Linked DNA regions of Rattus norvegicus. The protein of the gene in region 1 interacts with the protein of each later gene in a biochemical or structural test. Links are inferred from orthologs where the notes say so. Each region holds a gene or a part of one and is shown in the gene's direction. Other genes may lie near its edges.

Region 1 (3,500 bases):
GAGGCCCAGCTTAAAGACAGAGAAACATCAAAAGTTATTTATGACTTTATTGAAAAAACAGGAGGTGTAGAAGCTGTTAAAAATGAACTCCGAAGGCAAGGTAACTTTTGATTTATTTTGACTTTTTTTTTTTTCTGTTTCTTTTAAATTTTCTAAGATTATCTTTATGGTGAAAAACTAAGCACCCCTCCTTGAGCAAAGTCTTTGAATTTGTGTATGACAAATTCAGCTCAGCGTCACTGTATCTTTCATTATTTTGGTATAACAGAAGCCTTGAGCTAGACATGGGAAGATGACCTTTACCCAGCACCTGGGAGGTAGAGCAGGCAAATTCCTGTCTTAGAGGCCCACCTGGTCTACATAGATAACTGCATAGAGAGACTTGTCTTCCAACAAACAAAAACATGAGTGATTATTAGCCTAAAAGTCACCATGTAATCTCTATAACACATTTTCAGAATATAAATTATGTAAAATCTTTGTAATTTGAAATATAAAATTTTGCTTTGTTTTGGCTAGGGTATAATAAAATCTCTTGGCTCCAGAGACCACAGTTTACACCTGGATGTTGAGTAGTTTAAAGAACTTTGTGTTTTGGGTGCTCCCAATATTAGGACAGCCAGATGCAAGGACAATAGGTAGCCTTTGCTGTCACAGTCAGCACGACACACCATCTGCATTTGGAACCAAGTGTCTCCTCTTTGTACTGACACTAGGGAGCTGAGCTAATGCTCCAGTTCAGTGTCCTTGCATCTGACTGTCATTTGAAAGTGGGTATTTAATTACCTTTGTCTGCTTTTTAACTGCTGGCCCTCATTTTAATGAACGTGATCTTCCCTTTTGTAGTCAGTAAGGTTTAGAATCTTTAGGGCCAACTCTGAGAGCAAACAACTTCCAGGTCATATTGCTGCTGTATAACCACAGCCAGTTCAGTAGATACTTGGATTGGGCTGATCTATCTGACTAGCAGGCAAGTCACCCTTCAAGTGGTGTAGATTTAAAACATCTGTGGTTACATTTAGTCGTTTTCCAAGCTGTACAGTCATGACTTATATCCAGGTAAAGGACGATAGATCTTAAGGACTAGATAGGCAGACAGACAGATCTCTCTGCTGCACCCATGGTGCCCAGGGTTAATCGCCTGTTAGCATGTAGTCACACTCAGCATTATTGGACCATCTACATCGCTGTCTTACGGTTTTTGTACCTAAAGAAAAGTAGATCGTACTAACTGGTGTGGGTGAGAACCAGAGTTTCATCGGCCAGTAGTAAGCTGTCCAACATGGGTTAAGAATTGAGCTGAGGGGTTGGGGATTTAGCTCAGGCCCTGGGTTTAGTCCTCAGCTCCAAAAAATAAAGTAAAATAAAATAAATAAATAAAAAAATAAAAAGAATTGAGCTGAGATCCTCTGAAGCAGTTCACGCACTCTTAGTCAGTGAACTGTCTCTCCATCCCAGGGAAATTTTTTTTTATAGAGAGATAAATTAATAATTTATTTTTTAGAGTGAGCACATTTATAAATTAGTATTCAAAGATATGAAAAACAGAATGGAGATGTTAATAAAATTTGTTTTAACCTACTTAGTAAATCTTTTATCATTTATTTTATAGAATCATGAAATCAGATTTATAAAGACAAGCAAATTTGTGATTTCCATCATATCCCCATGTGTAGCTCTTACGTATTAAGTCCATTAACTTATAACAATCTGTTCTTCAGGTCCACCACAGTGGAGCGGTATGTATGTGGAACAGTATTTGGACCACTACTCTGAATTTTGCATGATTTGCTGTGTTGGTTTTTTGAGTAGCTAGCGTTTACATGTGCTGCCCTCAAAACTAATGTTTTGATCATAAAGGTGTTTTTGTATGTAGTTTTTTTGTTTTTGGTTTTCACTGTCACCGTATACCCCTGACTGTCCTGCAACTCCCTCTGTAGAAGAGGTTAGCCTTGAACTCATAGAAATCTGCCTATTCTGCCTCCAGTGTACTGGAATTAAAGGTTCATGTCTCCATCGCCCAGTACATAAAGATTCATGTGTAATAAAAAGAAACATTTCTAGAAGTATAAATATCTTCTATAATCTTATATAATGTAGATTATTTATTGAAGTTCTCTACTAGTAAACAGCTCTTGCTCACAGCACTCATGTTTTATTGACACTATACTATTTTACAATTGATTACACATTTGCTTTTCAGTAACCTGTATAAGATATGTCTATATTGCCTAGAAAAAGGAAGATGTGCAAAAGAATTCTTATTCACCACATGGAATTGTCATCTCAGAGGCTTGCTGCTAAGCTCACCCTTTCTAGTTTTTTCTGAACTCTGGCTGGCTGGCTGTTTAAACTCAGCTGAGCTGGCCCAGTCTCCTCCGAGCTGACTGATTCAAACTGGCTTCCTGCAGAATTGCTCTGCTTAGCCGCCTCCTTACTTTGGCAGTGTATTCCACTCTTCCGGCTCTTTTACATTCTCTGGCTTGTTGTGTCTTCTCCTGTGTCTAGTTTGCTCTCTTTGTAATTGTCTGTAAAACTGCTACCCACTAACTGCTCTGTGCTCCTCCTCTCTCCCTCCCCCTCGCTCCCTCTTTCTCTCCTCTTCCTCCCTACTCCTCGCTCCCTCTTTCATGAGAGGCTCTCTTAAGTAGATTCTCTTCCCTGTGCTGTTCACGTGAGAGTTGGGAGAGTGGGCATATGCTATCTCTGACTCATCTGTCATATTTTCTTCTTTGATTTGTCACTTTGTCTGCCCCTCAATTAGACAACACTTTCAAACATTACTGCTTCCTTCTATAACCTAGCCTTACTTTCATTGTTAGGAATTAAAAATGTGTACTAAGGGTATGTCTGCATTCTCGCTGGATCATATAGACCTATAAAGTCTTCGGATATGATCCCTTGCCAGAGCAACCATGTTACTGGATTAAAATTATCTACAAGGGTGGAGCAATATTAGTGAGAACAATATCATATATTCATTTAAGCACTTGACAATATTCCCATAAATTTATACTAGATAACATTTTTCTGTTATATTTTTATGAGATAACTTGGCATTGGTTCCTAAAAGTATTATGAATTCTTTAATACTATATGACCTTGTAATATTAAATAAGAAATTACATAAGAATTATTACATAAGAAATATAATTACCTACTGGTATTCTTAATAATACTGATGTTGGTCTGAAATAATAATTTTCAAATATGTCATCTTTTTATGTGCCATGAACACAAAGGTATTTTTCCCTTCCTATAAGATTGAGTGTTCTGTAGATTAATCAAGGATATTTATTTATATTTATGTATGTATTGTATATTATATATTTTGTGTGTGTGTGTAGATTAGAAGCATACTTTTTTGTAACATTCATGTCTTCCTCTTTGTTAATTTTCTTTCTTTTAATTTTAAAAATACCAGTTCTCATTCTCCTTCTGGTATTTGTGAACATTTAAAAGATCCTCACACTGGTGGCTGCTGCTTGGGTAACTGGCAT
Region 2 (4,171 bases), on another chromosome or scaffold:
CAGATCAGAGGTCAAGGGATGGCGGGCGCAGACCGCCACGTGCCCCAGCGCGGCCCCGCCCGTGACTCAGCCACGCGGCTGTCGAAGAACTAGGGCTGGGGGGGGGGGTCGTGGGGAGCCAGAATTTTGAGATGAACATCAGGGAGCCTAACCCGGCTCCAGAGAGGCAGCGAACCAAATCCCTCCACTGGGAGAGGCTGCATACCCCGGCGCCCCTCCTCCGAGGGACCGGAAGCGGCCGAGCCCCTCGGAGGCTAGGGTCCCGAGTGATTCCTTCACTCCCTCCAGCCTCACTGGCCTGCCATTCCCCCCTAGACCTGCACGGCGGCAAGTGACCTGATCGCACACAAATACTTAGCAAAAGTTTTACGGGAAAAGAAGAAAGCCCCAATGGGTCCAAAGTAGAGGGGACTTTCCTCTTCTTATAAAAGTTGTCATTCTTGGTACTTTAGTATTCTTCCGCCTTGAAAAATGAGTCCCGTCTTGTCACCCGGCTGGCGCCCCTATTCAAGTGACCTCTGTAGTCAGGGTTCAGGCATGGGGCGAGGCTCTGAGCTGGAGCGGATCCAGCGAAGGGAATGATTCCTCTGGAATATAGGGACGCGCTCGAATGAACCCAAGTGCGTCCACGGCAGACGGTTGGGACAGGTGCCCTTGTTGGAGACCTTTAGTACTGAAAATTACTAGAGTATTATGTCAATTTCACTTTTGTTCCCTTATCGTTTAAGTAAAATGTGGAGAAGGGTGCAGCCCACAAAACCCAGGGCGTCTGCCCGTCCCGCCTGCTGGGGACGCGTCTTCCCGGTTACGAAGGTCCAAATCTGTTCTGCCAGGCGCGCGCTCGCGCAGCCAAGCCGCTAGCCCCAACCGCCCCACGCGCTGTCTTCTCACTGCCCCGGCGCAGGCGCGGGCGCACGCGCCGCCGCCGCCCGCCGTTCCTTCCCTCCCGCGGAGGTGGGGGTTGGGGGGTGGAGGAATGATTCGGTTTAACCCTGGGTTCCCGGAACCCACTTTAATTTGCTCAATTTTACTAATTTTCCTCTTTTCCCCCTTCTTCCTCTGGTTTCCTCCTTCTGCGGCAAAGTGGTTTGTATCCCGTACGAATTGGAGCGAGCCCTAACCTTAGCCTCTCTCTTGCCACCACCACTCTAGCCTTTCGCGTGGCTTTCCATCGAACTCGGCAAATTTTGCAAAAGGGGGGAGGGCTTTTTAAAATTGCATTTGCAAAAGTTCGCTATCTGGCCTGGCAAGAGGGGGGGACGGAGGGAGGGAATGGGGAGCAGGCCCCGCCCCGCCGCCCTTTGCAAATAAAAATCTAGAGGGGGGGGAGGAGCAGGAAGTGGCGGTGCGAGGGCTGCTGCACAGCTAACACAGCCGCGTTCCGGACGGCAGCGCGTGCCCCGAGCTCTCTGCCTTCCCCCGCCCGTCAGCCCGAGCCCAGCCCGCGATCCCAGCAGCAGCCCGCAGAGCAGCCCCAGCAGCAGCGCCATGGCCGGGTGGAACGCCTACATCGACAGCCTTATGGCGGACGGGACCTGTCAGGACGCGGCCATCGTAGGCTACAAGGACTCGCCCTCCGTCTGGGCCGCTGTCCCCGGGAAGACCTTCGTTAGCATTACGGTACTGCGAGGCTTGTGCGGTCCGGGGCATTGATCAGGCTTAGACCCTCTGGGAGACTTGGGTGGGGGCGGGCGCAGTCTAGCGAGGGCAGCGAGAGGCCGTGATCCGGTCCTCTTCCTGAAGCGGCGCGAATGGCGGCTGCATGAAACTAGGTCCCTCTGTTGCCCCCCAAGCTCTACGCCCATCGGCGGCGGCGCCCATCTCGCCCGCCGCCCCGCTTTCTGCGACGGGGCGTTACATCCGGGGCACAGGGCGGGGAGGGGCGCGTCGCCCGGTGCGGCGGCCCACTTCCGCCTCCTCCAGGGCGGGGCAGGCACGCGCTGCAATTTTAGCCTGGGATTATGATTGATAAGGGGCTTGGGGAGCTTGGACTCCCCTTTGGGCCGACTGCTCGCTCTCCCTCCACCATTGTTTCCCCTTATGCTGATGGGAGCGCCAGGCGCGTGGCCTTGGGCCCTGCAGGACCTCGGTAGCACCCTGCCCCTCCCAACTCCGTTAGAGAGGGCGAGGCCGCCACCACACACACCCCCAATTCGGCACGTTAGCCTCAACATTCCTGTGAGGCCAATCCCGGAAGTCCCCTCACCCTCCCTTCCCGCCATCCGGCAGGGCTCGGAGTAGGGGAACTTTGCGAGAAGTTCTGAGACGGTAAAAGTGAAGGGATAAGGCTGCTGCTGTCCCTGCCACCACCTTCCCTGACCACACTGCCCGGAAGTGGGGAGGGGGAGCGGAAGTTCGAATGGGGGGAAGGGGATTTCCGGGCGGGAGGGTACCGGATATGGGGTTTGGGGTTTAAGGGGGAGAAGGAGTAAGGTTCTCTGGGATGTCTAGACTCAAAAGACTAGTCTCCTGCCCTTATAAACTTTTTAAACTTAATTAGAAAGCCCCCAGGGGTCAGCTTCCTTATCTTGGGGCATAGATACCTAGACCTAAACTCTAGCTCACCGGGAGACCCAGGAGTCCCGGCTCCTAACAACGCCTGCAGAACCTTTGACCAAATAAGGACAAAGTTACTTCTCCTCCCTTCCTACCCCCTCCCTTCCCCTCTCCGCTTCTGCTTTTCCTGAAGGACTGTTCTGAGCATCCAAAGGCTCCCCCCTCGATCATTGATCCGTTTTTGGTACCCAACATTTCTTTCTTTGCTTTTTCTATTAAGCATGAAAATCTAATTCTTCAAAGGAATATTTTTCCTTCCTTGGACTCATTTAATAGAGTTTAGGATCATTGTCGTTCTCTACACTACCCACAGTACTGTTTTCCCCAACTTTTGATGGTGTGTATGAAACACCTTCACCTCCAACTCCACAGTACATAAGAGGACAAGTTATGCAGGTGCACTAACTTAATGAGGTGATTGATTCTTCTAGCCAGCTGAGGTTGGTGTCCTGGTAGGCAAAGACCGGTCAAGTTTTTTCGTGAATGGGCTGACACTTGGGGGCCAGAAATGTTCTGTGATCCGGGACTCACTGCTGCAAGACGGGGAATTTACAATGGATCTTCGTACCAAGAGCACCGGGGGAGCCCCCACCTTCAATGTCACTGTCACCATGACTGCCAAGAGTAAGTTTGATTCGCTGGCTTTGAAATCCCTAACTTCCTGTTAGTCACTTGGTTTTATGTGTGTCAGAGCTGCAAAACAGTATTTACTCTGCTGGATATGGGAACCTTGGATGGCTCCCCATATCCCCATTGTGTAAAGAAACTACATTACCTCTTAAGTGTCTTCTTGCTTTGAGCTTTTTGAGATTAGTTTGTTGGGAGTAGACTGTTGGAATCTTAAGTCAGCATTTGGCTCTAATCTTGAGTTCTGTAAAGACCTGAGGTAGGAAGCAGTTCCTAGCCACATCAGTCTACAACCTGTAAGCCTATGACCTCTAAATTTTGTTCTTTCTTTACTAGTCTTAAAGCTTTTTTTCTTCTTTGAAAAGCTCTATTGTTTTAGGGTGACTGACAGCCTGCCTGTGTATAAGGGGAGGAGGGAATGAGGTTAGGTTACAACCCCCGGGGCTGGACAGCTGCTGAACAGCTGGCTGGGTTGAATTGTGACACCTGGGTCCTAGCTTCCTTTCTCTTTCCTCCAGCGCTAGTCCTGCTGATGGGCAAAGAAGGTGTCCACGGTGGTTTGATCAACAAGAAATGTTATGAAATGGCCTCTCACCTGCGGCGTTCCCAGTACTGACCTCATCTGTCCCTTCCCCCACCGCTCCCTTTGGCTTTTGCACCCCCTTCTTTCCATACACACACACACCATTATTTTTTGGGCCATTACCCCATTTCCCTTATTGCTGCCAAAACCACATGGGCTGGGGGCTGGGGCTGGATGGACAGATACCTCCCCCTACCCATACCCCCTCCTGTGTGTGTTTGGGAAAAAATTGTTTTTGGGTTTCATTTTTGTTTTACTTTTTTTTTGTTTTGTTCTTTTTTTTTTTTCTGAATAAAAAAAGATTCTACTAACAAGGACCTGTGTGGTTTGCACTTCGCATTAGTTGGAGACAGGCACTGTGACCCACCTCAATTATGTATCTGCGTCTTGATGTGACATAGGCCC
Region 3 (4,043 bases), on another chromosome or scaffold:
GGACTGGGCTCCATCTCCAGTCCTCAAATGAACATTCTTCCGATGAGGTTTCCTCTAATGTTGGGAGGCATCTAACAAGTAGGATAGGATCTCTATTCTCCAGAAGCTTGAAGCTTGTACACCACCAGAGAAGACAGCCATTAAACAGGCGCTGAGATGATAGGAAAAAGGATTCGAGAGGTTTAGATCCCACCAAAGGGGTCAGGGGAGAGCACTCAGGCAGAGTAAACGCAGGGCTTTTTGAGGGGAAAGTCTGTAGTTCTAAACAAAACCCAGAGTGATGTCCAGCTCTCACTTCAAAACAGATTGTTCAGAGGCCTGTGGCCTTCAGAAAGCTGTGCACAGCAAGTCACTTCTCAGAGAAGCAAAAGAGGCAAGGCGTGGAGGTGCGTGCCTGCAATCTCAGTACTTCGGAGGTAGAGGCAAGAGGATCGGCAGTTCGGGGCTGGGGATTTAGCTCAGTGGTAGAGCGCTTACCTAGGAAGCGCAAGGCCCTGGGTTCGGTCCCCAGCTCCGGAAAAAAAGAACCAAAAAAAAAAAAAAAAAAAAGAGGATCGGCAGTTCAAGATCAACCTGTTACCCAGTTGTGTTCAAAGCCAGCTGGGCTAAATGAGACCCTGTCTCAAGTTGCTCAATAAAGATAGTCTGGGTATGGTGATGCACACCTTTAATCCTAGCACTCACGAAGCAGACGCAAGGGGATCTCTGAGTTCCAGGCTAGCCTGGGCTCGAAAAACAAAACAAAAAGAAAAAGAGACAGCTTGAGCGTTGTGGTACATTTCTTGGGATTATCAGAACTCAGGGAGCAGAGGTAGTAGGATCGCTGTGTGTTCTGGGACAACCTGGTCTACATAGCCATTTCTAGGGCAGTAAAGGCTACATAATGACACCCTGTCTAAATAAAATAAACAAAAATATTTGTTTACAACAAATATATTTACAACATTTTCTCTACAAAGTTGCAAGAATAGAAGTAAACTTTAGTTACAAACTGTGCACATTTTCTGTTCATAGTTTTATTACGAATAAAATCACCGTTAAAAGGCGCAGAGAGCAAACCCGAACACGCAAAGAACGTAGCCCGCGCGTGCGCGCCAAGGGGCGGAGCCCGGGCCGCCTGAGCCCCTTCTTTCTCTTTGTCCCTCCCACTTCCGCGGGCACCCAACCATGCGTCCCCTGCGTGCTGACGTCAGGCGCGTGCCCCTGTCCGGCAGCCGAGGAGGCCCCGCGCAGTGCTGCCAACGCCCCGGCGGAGAAGCTGAGGTGAGTGCGGGGCCCGAGTAGCCTCCCTGCGGGAGCGTCTTCTGCGCCGCCCGGTCCCCTTCCCATGTCCCCCGTCCTCCCTCGGTTCTCGTGGACGCTCGCGGGCGGGGACATCCCGGTGCTTGCGGGCGGCGGGCCGCGAGGGAGGGATTGCCGGGTTCGCGTGCGCCCGCCGGCCCGGGTTCTGAGGGGAACGAGGCGGGGTCGCGGCCAGGTTTGGGGCCGGAATGGCGGCGAGGCGCGGCCCGGGATGGCGGCGGCTGAGGGCACAGCCCGGCCGAGCTGTCAGCGGCGGCGAGAGGACCGGGCACACCCATCCCACACGTTCCCCTCCCCCTCCGGCTGCCCGCGGGCTCTAGAGGCCCCGGGGCGCGGGGTGGGGGGACGTATGGTCAGGACCGGGGTCGGAGGCCGGGGGCTGTCTCTGCGCTGTGGGCCTCGACTTCCTGCTTCCCGGGCTCCGCCGCGGACGCGTTGCGGCTGGCGGGGGAGGGGAGCGGAACTGCGGCCGCAGGGCCGGGCCGGGGCCGAGGTGACGGACCGGGCGGCTCTGCGCCTGCGCCCCTCGGCGATCTCCTGTCCCGCGCCGCGTCCTCTCCTGCCCCGCGGCTCCGGGGGCTCTCCTGACGGGGCCAGCCTCTTTGCCTTCCGGGACCTGCCTAAGTACCTCCCGAAACCCCGCCTGGCCACTTACTCAGTTCCTCATTACTAGCAGGAAAATTTCTTTGTTGACTGCTACTATTATTATTATATATTTTTAAATTCCTCTTTCCACCCCTTTAACTCCGGGAGATATTCAGTGTGGAAGATTACGTCATCGCAGCATAAGGGGTGAAAGTTTTAACTCCTACAAGTCAGGGCTCACCAAATTAAGACAGCATCTTGTGGCCTTAGTGGGTCACTCCACCCAGCACATCAGTTCAGAGTAAGGTGTAAGGTGGCTTTTTTTTTTGTTTTTGTTTTTGTTTTTTGTTTTTTGTTTTTTGTTGAAATCCTGTTGTCTGTCTCCAGACTGCCTGAGATGCACCTGAAATACGGAAGGTTCAAAATCTTAGGTTTAGGGTATTTTTGGTCAGGGAATACACACTGTCTGCAGTCACTTGTGTAGGTATGAACTTCAAAGGGCCCCTTGGCTGTACTCGGGTGAATTTTAAGGAGCAGTTCTTTGCCACACTAGTTGTGACTTAGCTGATGTAAAGAACCCAAATTCAGTGCATGGTTTGAAGAGTGAGCTGAAAAGAGAATTTAGTTATACACCTGATTTGTCTTTGTTAGGATTGCAGCTTCAAAGTTGCATGCTTTAGTTTTACCATGAAGAATGGCTTTTGGATTTTTTATCTTGAGACAGGGTCTCCATAGGTAGTGGTGGTTAACCTTGAATTTAGAGGGACCTTCCCTCTAGTCTCTGCCTCTCAAGAGCTGGGATTACAGGCATGAGCTACTTAAATTGCTACCCTTGTTTTTAATTTTTTTTTTTTTTTTTTTTGGTTCTTTTTTTCGGAGCTGGGGACTGAACCCAGGGCCTTGCACTTCCTAGGTAAGCGCTCTACCACTGAGCTAAATCCCCAGCCCCTTGATTTTAATTTTTAACCCTAAAAACTTGAGTAATACTTTTAGATCACTAGAATTGTGTGTCCTTTGATTATAGTATACACTAGTGTTGAAGTATTCTTCAACATTGCAAAACAAATGAGATCCAGTGTGTAGCACATCCCTGTAAGGGTGGCTCGTATTTGAACAAGACTTTTCCCATTATTGCTCGTTTGTATAGAAAACAGTATTGTTTGTTAAACACTGGCGTGGTGGATTCAAATAGGCTTTCTGTAGTTTGTAGGTGTGGAGCTTGAATCGTCCCAAATAATTTGTTATGCTTCATGTGACATCTAGGAATATAAAATTGGAGAGTACTTATCTACTATTGTGTTTTTTAAAGCCTATATTTAAAAAGTTTACATGTGTACCAATTTGTATTTTTTTTCCCCTTTTTTTATTGAACTAGTCTGGGCTGGTGAGATGGTACAGTGGATAATAACACTTGTCAGACAGGCCCGACTGCCTTAGTTGGGTCCCCCAGAACCCAAGGTGGAAGGAGAGAATCTGCTCAGGAGGCAGAGGCAAACTCTCTGAGTGTGAGGCCAGACTCGTCTACACAGCCTGTCTTGAAAAAACAAAAACAAAATCTGTCTTCTGATCTTCACACTCTTGCCACATGCATGTGTACACATAAATGCACACAATAATAATAAAAATTAAAAACACAATTAGTTTGAATTTGTAAGTTTTAGACAAGGCAAGGACATAAGAGATTGGTAACTGAGTATTTGAAAGGAGTATTTTTTAAACAGTAATTTGTTCAAGACCCAAAATTGCCTTCTATTCTGTTAAACACTTGTTTAAATTCAAGATATTTTCATATTGAGACAGTACCTGTGCTTAGTAAACACATTCCCTGCACCAGTAATCCATGTAAGCCCATCAAGACTAAATCCCCAAGTTTACAAAGTTTACAAATCTTTACAAAAGATTTGTTTTCTTAGGAATATTTTTGCACTTGAAATGTTTTACAGATTGTTTTATTTCAGATTTTCACACATCTATGCAAAATATTTTATATTTTGACCATACTCATCCCTATTTCCCTCCTCTGCCCCTCAGCATGTCCACCTCCCAAGTCTTACTCTTTTTTATGACCCACTGAGTCTAATTTATGCTGCCCCACTCTTCATCTTAAGATCTATGAAACATTTCTAGTTATTTTTACTGCTAAATTTTTTTTGGTG

The links.
Region 2: the proteins of Wasl (region 1) and Pfn1 form a complex in vitro, tested with the Homo sapiens proteins (2 studies listed by BioGRID). The link is inferred for Rattus norvegicus from reciprocal best matches to the Homo sapiens genes WASL and PFN1.
Region 3: the proteins of Wasl (region 1) and Cdc42 form a complex in vitro, tested with the Homo sapiens proteins (3 studies listed by BioGRID). The link is inferred for Rattus norvegicus from reciprocal best matches to the Homo sapiens genes WASL and CDC42.

The regions. Positions count from the first base shown.
Region 1 is NC_086022.1:54,056,071-54,059,570, reverse strand, and holds part of Wasl (actin nucleation-promoting factor WASL), read left to right. Parts: coding exon 1-100; intron 101-1,721; coding exon of another isoform or gene 1,722-1,739; intron 1,740-3,500. UniProt on the Homo sapiens protein: Regulates actin polymerization by stimulating the actin-nucleating activity of the Arp2/3 complex. Involved in various processes, such as mitosis and cytokinesis, via its role in the regulation of actin polymerization.
Region 2 is NC_086028.1:55,863,788-55,867,958, reverse strand, and holds Pfn1 (profilin-1), read left to right. Parts: upstream 1-1,371; 5' UTR 1,372-1,488; coding exon 1,489-1,620; intron 1,621-2,987; coding exon 2,988-3,180; intron 3,181-3,701; coding exon 3,702-3,799; 3' UTR 3,800-4,077; downstream 4,078-4,171. UniProt on the Homo sapiens protein: Binds to actin and affects the structure of the cytoskeleton. At high concentrations, profilin prevents the polymerization of actin, whereas it enhances it at low concentrations. By binding to PIP2, it inhibits the formation of IP3 and DG.
Region 3 is NC_086023.1:154,873,712-154,877,754, reverse strand, and holds the start of Cdc42 (cell division control protein 42 homolog), read left to right. Parts: upstream 1-1,243; 5' UTR 1,244-1,263; intron 1,264-1,269; exon of another isoform or gene 1,270-1,381; intron 1,382-2,057; exon of another isoform or gene 2,058-2,195; intron 2,196-2,933; exon of another isoform or gene 2,934-4,043. UniProt on the Homo sapiens protein: Plasma membrane-associated small GTPase which cycles between an active GTP-bound and an inactive GDP-bound state. In active state binds to a variety of effector proteins to regulate cellular responses. Involved in epithelial cell polarization processes.